2 linked regions of the Drosophila melanogaster genome follow. The protein of the gene in region 1 interacts with the protein of each later gene in a biochemical or structural test. Each region holds a gene or a part of one and is shown in the gene's direction. Other genes may lie near its edges. The genes, in order: nwk and WASp.

Region 1 (3,924 bases):
TTCATAATCTTCATGAATAAAACCATACCTGTAAATTGAAAGGGTAATAAACTCATTAGTATAATTAAGCAGCAACAATCGAACTGCAATAAATCGAACCAATTAAGAAATGTAATTTCAAACTGAGTCACGGCAAACTTGTTTATTTGGCTTAAGTGAAGTGACTCGCAGTGTTTTCGTATTCAGTTTAAATACAATAATAATAGCAATGGAATCTAATATCTATTTATCTGTTTTCGTTCTTATAATGAATATTTATAATATTGTGATTAACATATTCAGGAAACTTGGTTTATAAACGTGTTTAAATGTGTGTTGTTGAGTTGGATAACTTAAGGTATATTTGTTAAGTAAATGAATTGGGATTTTCCAAGAGGGGTTCTTTTTTGCAGCTTGAACAAAACTTCCACAAAATACAATGACTCACCTATAAAAGTGGCAATTACGAAGGCAATCATCAGCCACAGCCAGCACTTGTAGGCTTTTTTCGAATGTTGCTCCAGTTTCTCAGCCTCTTTTCCTAGCGAATTGATATTGCGATCCGCCATTCCGGCGGAACGCGACACAACCTCCGTGTCTCTTCGGATAATCCTGTTGGCGGTCTCCGTCTGTTCCTTTAAGTTCCGAGTCAGCGAGAGCATGTGCTCGGTGATCTTCTCCTGGGCATTCGTATAATACTTGGCAGCCTGGTTCATGTTTTCACCAGAAGTTTCCTGAACGTTTGCGCTTCCAGAACTGGAGGAGGATTCATCTGCTCCTCGACGTCTTCGCAGGGCATCGGAATCTAAAATAAATGTTTTTTAAGTTATGAACTATTACATTTTTGAATTTAAGAAATTTTAAAATATGTACAAAACTGTTTGTTAATTCTTTATTACCCTGGAGCAGTTCCTTTCGCAGTTCGTTGTGATATTTGCTGTTTTGCAGCTGCCTTATTTCTTTCAGTGCATTTTCCCCAGTTTCGCTGACGGCTGAGGATTGTGAAGGAGTCTTTGTTGTGGAACCGGGAACGTCTGCATATCCGGTGGATATTTTAAGGGCCTGTAGGCGCTCCAAGTAGCCCGGGATACGTTTGACACTCTGCGGATCGCCCATCGCCTCCAGCTCGGCAAGCATTGTGTCCAGGGACTTAATGAACTTCTGCAGCCTCCAGAAGTTCTGTTCGCTTTTGGCCAGTTCCTCGCAGTTGGCCAGCAGGGTGCGAATATTTACATTTAGCTTCGTGGCCATTTTCAAGTTGAAAACATGAAAACAACAAAGTACAAATTCCTAAATTAAAATACCAGGTCGAAACCTATTTGTTGTCAGCAGCTGGTCCTATTAGCGATAGAAACTTATCGATAGGTTGTCGTGAGTAGTGATGAAAAATTATTGAGGATGTGTATGTAAAATGTAAGAATGTAAAAATGTATAAAGTAAAAAAAACATAACAAACAAATAATCTTCTAATCCTGTTAAAATTTAATTTTTAAAAATTTTTGAAAAAAAACATCAAGTTCCCAATATGCCATATTTATAAGCTTATGTCTACTTTCTCAAGATAACGTAATGCATTTATATTATTGCATGCATACTTCTGGGCGCGACTCGAAAATCTTATCAAACCTCTTGGCCAATATCTGAAGTTATCAATTAAACCGTTTTTGATAGCCACAGCATATGAGTAGTTTCACGCAAACGCACATTTTTGTTTTAGCTGTTGTCGTACGCCAGGTGTCAAGATCAAATGGCATACCATTCAAAGGTTGAATTTTTATAGTAGTTTTTTTTTCTTCATTTTCCTTAAGTGCCGTTACACGCAAGTGAGGTGTTATCAAACAGCTGACGGGGCAAAAACAATAAAACTCACCCTCTTTGTTAACGGTACTAGAGGCCATGAATGAAACACGACTTCGTTCTCTCTCGACTTTCTCTCACCGCTCTCTTTGGCGGTCTCTTCTTGCGCAGCAGCACCAGCAGTTAACGGTGCATGTTGAAAAGTTCTCACACAAACGTCGTGAAAATCGAAATCGATAAGTAAGCAACGGATTTTAGCTGCCCAGAAAAAGACCACAAATTTCAGTGAAAACCCAGCGATAAGAATCCCAAAAAGTACTAATCCAGCTGAAAAACAACCATCTTAACCGGCCATGTCCAAAAAAAGTGTTAGCCAAGTGTTTTGAATAACGTAGTTGGTGTAAATGCTTAAAAAAAATAAGCTAGTCCGGGGCCAGAGAAATCGATACGATACCCCCAAAAAAAGGGGGGCTGCTGCGTGGGCTGCCCGAGTGAAAATTTCCAGCTAAAAATAGTACTAGATTTGAGCTTGAAGAAAACCCTTGATTTCCTTTGCGTTTCGATGTCAGTTATCATTGCATTTCAGTTACATAAGTTTTGAGACCCGTTGCTGCGTAGCGAACCTATTAACGGCTTAAGGACCACACAACCACCCACATGTACCACCAACACCACCCATTTACACAGCCAAAAATAATCGGAAAATATATATATATAATAAATATCAGTAGGGCTACATTTTATCTAATCTTTAATTTGATAATGTTAGATTCTTTGATATAAGTCATGGCGTTAAAAATAAATCTCCCCTTTTAAGCCACTGAAATATAAATTTTTTTATATTAAAAAAATAAGATGGGATCTTAAATATCGTATCGTATTTTAATACCCGTATATCATATCCTCTCATAAAGCAATCATACTATTTACAGTTGCTAGAGGTAATGTAACACCATTAAGTCGGAGCTAAAATAGAAAAAAAAAGCCAATTGTAGAGTGACCCGATTGTCGTAGAAAAAGCCCCATGATGCAGCCGCCGCCGCGTAAGGTAAATCATAAATAAATCGAATTGATAAAGATAGTTCCACAATAATCATTCATCGTATACCTCGTAATCCTGCAGGGAAACTATGTGAAATTCCTCAAGAATTTGCACACGGAGCAGGTGGCCAAGCTGCAGCTGAAGAATCAGCATGAATGCGACCTCCTGGAGGACATCCGGCAGTTCACCATCAAGCGTTCCGCTGTCGAGAAGTCATACAGTGAGTCGCTGCTGAAGATCTCATCGCAGTATCTCAACAAGAAGATACCCAATATACCAGATATTAAGATGGAGGGCATGGAGGAACGCTGGTGGGTATTGCTTTCCAGCTAACTAGTAACGTTCTTTCGAGAACCTTCAGTCAATTTGAATTACCCACCTACTTATACGTAATCTCATAGGAACATGTGGAGCGTTTGGCGCACTGTGCTCGAGGAGAATGAGAAACTGGCTCGTGCTCGATTGGCCGCCATAGAGGTGTTTCAACAGCAAATCGCGGATGAGGCCAAGGTTCTGCGGGACTATAAGTTGGCCATAGCTAAGCGTTCGCTAGCCGGAATTGTCAATGTGCAGAAGGAACTCCATCTGAGCGTGGGCGATGTGGATAAGACCAAGAAATCATACTTTGACGAAGAGCATTGTGCTCACGATGTTCGGGACAAGGCCCGCGATATCGAGGAGAAGCTTAAGAAGAAGAAGGGCTCCTTCTTTCAATCAATCACTTCGCTGCAGAAGAACAGCGCCCGGGTCACATCTCGCAAGGAGCTGCTGGAGGAGAAGTCATCTGGCGCCCGGAATGACTACGTACTCAGCTTGGCGGCGGCCAATGCGCATCAGAATCGCTACTTCACCGTCGATCTGCAGACAACGATGACCACCATGGAGAACTATGTTTTCGAGCGGGTTGCCGAGTACCTGATGTTAATGGGGTAAGTGTATAATGGCATTGCTCATAAATTATAAACCATCCAGAAGTGCAAAATCGGTAAATCAATTATAAATTTTACAAGTTCAAAGCCATTTTCTAATCAATGTTTGCTCAAGTCGTCAATTACATTCTGATAATTTTTATGGCGCTACCTGATATGGCTCATAAAGTTATTAAA
Region 2 (3,924 bases), on another chromosome or scaffold:
AGGTCGCAAGAAACCAGCCTATGTCTCACCCTACAGCATGCAAAGTCAACGGAATAGCAACAATGCCGCCCCGTCCAAGAAGAAAACCCTATCTCCAACAATTGCCAAACGAAGTCTGGTGCCCGGCGGTTCAGGAGTTAGGTTACCAGCGAAAAAGAAGCCGACGCCGCCGCCTGAGCCGGCACCCGCACGCTTGGAACGCCAGGGAACCTTTGTCAAGGACGAGCCCACTAACTCCAATGTTCAAGTGCCCGTGGTGGAGACAAAACCGGCTCAAACCAGTCCCACTCACCGCGCCTCGAAGTTACCCACAAAGAAAGGCACGGCCAGCGGTGGGTCACCATCGAAAGCGGGCTCTCCCAAGAGGATTCCCTTGGCGCCGGCCCGCCGAATGACGCCTCAAAGGGCAAACACCAGTCTGCGACTAGCTGCGGGCAAATCTCACGCTGCCTCACGTGTGGTCTCCGGCCGCGTGTCGTCCACTACTCCACCATCCCGCAGCAACTCCAACCTAAATGGAAGCAGTGCAGCCGCAGCAGCTGCGGCCAAGATCAACCATGCGCAAAGTCGTATCGCCAACATCTGGAAGAGAGTGGACGAGGCCAAAACCAAGCAATCGTCATCCAACCTGAGGACGCAGAAAACCAAATCTTCCAACATGCTCAACGCAAATGGAACCAAGCCGACGCTCCTGCGCAGCTCCACGTTTGACAATACCCCCAGCACCGCTGGAGGAGTCAAGTCCAAGCTGCCAGTGGTGGGCGCGCGGAAATAGAGGGTTAATTTGTTCAGGATAGTATGGATCACAAATTAGCCAAGTTAAAGCGAAAACGGAAGTGGAGATTGTAAGAGGAACAGGACTGTATTTGTCAAGCATTTTTTAGGAACCGAACACGCACAGGTCCACATCCACAAGCCGAGCTAGAGTCAGAGTCAAAATCAAAGAGTTTTTAGGATAGGAGTTAATATACATACGCTATGTAATCCATATTTTACTCTCCTTTTACTTTATACATTATACGTAGACCCTAAAACTTTGTAAGCAACCAGTTTAGCATAGAGTTAGCGCAAACTCCTAGTAACTTCAACTTATCCAAATCACAGTCAGAGAAGGAAGCTCCCGATGCTCCCGATCGTGTGTAGCCAAATGTATTGCATATATATACACAAAATCAGGCCTTTCAACATGTGTACAACTACCCAATATATACAAAATGTATACTGGCATATATATAAATGCTATATATTCGATTGTCGCATTAACTAGGAAAGGTTTACCAAGTCGAATGTCTGTTCTGATTTAACTTTTTTAACACTTAGTTAGATGAGCTGTCCTCCAACTGGTGAGCTACTGAAATCAATTACAATCATATAGTTGCACATCTTTATTGAGAATATACTCTAAGTTTAAAATATGCCCCTGGCTTCCTTATGCAAACACCAAATATCTGAAGAGAGAAGAAATTCACATTTTTTAGTCACTGCTTTTTAAGTATTCTTTTATATAATTTAGCAAGTTAAGGGTAACTGTTTTAGGAAACAGCTTATGCATTAAGCTCATCATTTGCGACTTAGTTTTTACCGATTCAATGCGATTAACCATTTTCAATATGAATAAATCGAAATATGCTTTTTGTCAGCAAAAAATTAAACCAATGTGAATTTACTCGATTATAATTTATATCAAAATAAAACATATTTTGAAAGCCAGATGAACAAATATTTATTCGAATTTACGGGCGTGGTAAACAAAATCAAATTTAACGGAAAAGATAACATAAATGAAAAAATATACTATTCCCACAGCTCTCCACTCGCGATTTCTTAACGGAATTGCCTGAAACTTTTTGATAAACTTTTAAGCGGAACTAGTGATGGGCAAAATTGAAAAGTCTCGAGCATGGTCTGCACAGGGCCTTGGCAGAGCTTGATGCATATTTTAGGAAATTATCGAAAGGATAGTATTTTTAGCCTATCGCCTTTTTCGGTCGGTCACACTGGCAGCAATTGAATTGGAGTGAAAAAAAATAAATGAATAAACAAACTAGCATTGCGTCCGGGAACAGACGAATAATCAACCGAGGAACACTCGTTTTCAACGCCATGCACTCGATGACGCGGACGCGCGCACAGTAGAGCCTCCCGATAAGAGTCCCGGAATCCGCAAGGCCAGAGACTACACAGATTTTGTGGTGTGTTGTGTTGTGTGTGGGAAAAAAACGAAAGAGTGAAGAGCAGTGCACGAAAATAAACGCAAAAAATCAATGGGCGACCCCCCCAGCAGAGCAGCTCACAAGGGAAATTCGAGACCTTGAGTAGGGCAGCACATCATCCCATCCCATCCAAGCCGAACCAACCCAACCCATGAACTTACTCCCAATCCGCAGCAGCGTCTGTCTATTTACATTTGCATTTTCACCCCACCTGGCGCGACGACGGACAGGTGTTGTCACAAATCTTGGAGCTACGGAGTGGCGCACAGTGGGGTGGATTGGCTGGTGGCTTGTGGCGAGTGCCGAATGTTGAGTAACCCAGACCACTGTGCATGTATCACACATAGATACATGCGCACACCTAATCAGTGCTTTTCGCCAAAGATAAGGGCTCTTTTCGAAGAGTTTGCCACTGGCCTGGCTTTTGCCCACATTCAAACGCAGCTGGCTGGCTTGCTGGCTGACTGTTTCTGTTTCTGCTTCTGATTTCCGACTCTCGGGCACCGTGACTCAGACCAGGCGATCCGCTCGCAGCCCCGCCGACACCATAACCAGCTACATCGTCATAGCCAGCGCAGGTCTCGGTCTCTCTCGCTCGCGCTCTTGGCCGTAATTCGGGCTGAAAACCATTCAAAACCGTAAAGACAATACTGTCAATCGATTCAGCAGTCCCAAAACCATAATTCTTCGATCCCAAATCGGGTTATTCGCAACACACTTCGGACTCCGTTGCTCAAACTCTCTGTAGATCGGAGTTTTTACAAGCTGTACACTGTACAAAAAAATAGGCAGCCTATCCAAGTGTAGTTATCTTTTTATATTCGAAGGCGTTGACTGCAATAATTCATTTAAACGTTAAATATTATACAGTTTCTGAACTCTTTAGTATATTTATGGGAGCTCAAACTTTTCATATTGTATCGTCAACCCTACGATCCCAAACTTTTGTTCACTCTATCGAAGTTCAACTGTTACTCCGTGTGCCTTTATTGTTATGAACTTTTTACTTTTTCGGGGTCCCCAGCGTTTTGTGATATTAAATTAATACATTTAGCTTTTGTTCATTTGCGTATTGTTTTCGCCACACAATAAAATGCGTATTGTGTCCGTATTGTGCAGGGAAACCAGCCCAGATCCCCATATCCAGCACCAGACCCAGATCCAACGAAACCGGCCAGATGAGCAGCGGAATGAGGTCGCAGGACGGTCCACGGGCGAAGGTCAATGCCGCCAGTACGCTGCTCACCCAGGAGGAGAATGAGGCCGTCTTCAAGCTGCTGGGCAAGAAGTGCCAGGTGAGTCGAGTACTGATGATGCATAATGCCCCCAATCGGGTGATTAATAATTAAGCAATGACATGGTTTGTGTTCCTCCGCCTTCGCCGAGCAAATCCCACGGCTTGATGAAGCACTTCCTGCGGCTCAAGTGTCGCCCATCGTGTGCGAATTTCACTCGAAGCACAGTAACCCTATATCATAATATCATTCTACGGTCTACGGGCAGCTGCCTGTCATATTTACCAAATTTCACTTGCACACTGCCCAACATAGTTGAATGGTTTCTTTGCCCATTTAAAGATGGCACCGGAAGCTAAACTGTGAACAAAATTAGAGTTCTATGCACTATAGTTAGTTGGTCAGCTATAAAACTTGCATGGGAGTATCGTACACATTATTAGCTTTGGTTTTGATTGAAAGACATACTCTTTTGC

What was found.
Region 2: of the proteins of nwk (region 1) and WASp, one has a biochemical effect on the other in vitro, tested with the Drosophila melanogaster proteins (one study listed by BioGRID).

The regions. Positions count from the first base shown.
Region 1 is NT_037436.4:9,135,874-9,139,797, forward strand, and holds the start of nwk (nervous wreck), read left to right. Parts: upstream 1-1,986; 5' UTR 1,987-2,016; exon of another isoform or gene 2,017-2,091; intron 2,092-2,708; 5' UTR 2,709-2,803; coding exon 2,804-2,824; intron 2,825-2,899; coding exon 2,900-3,129; intron 3,130-3,219; coding exon 3,220-3,747; intron 3,748-3,924. Other genes in the region: Use1 (unconventional SNARE in the ER 1), read right to left, coding at 1-28, 428-784, 879-1,230. UniProt on the Drosophila melanogaster protein: Adapter protein that provides a link between vesicular membrane traffic and the actin assembly machinery. Acts together with Cdc42 to stimulate actin nucleation mediated by WASp and the ARP2/3 complex.
Region 2 is NT_033777.3:28,830,086-28,834,009, reverse strand, and holds the start of WASp (WASp), read left to right. Parts: upstream 1-1,985; 5' UTR 1,986-2,192; intron 2,193-2,696; exon of another isoform or gene 2,697-2,791; intron 2,792-2,869; exon of another isoform or gene 2,870-3,016; intron 3,017-3,332; 5' UTR 3,333-3,391; coding exon 3,392-3,508; intron 3,509-3,924. Other genes in the region: Apc (APC-like), read left to right, coding at 1-775.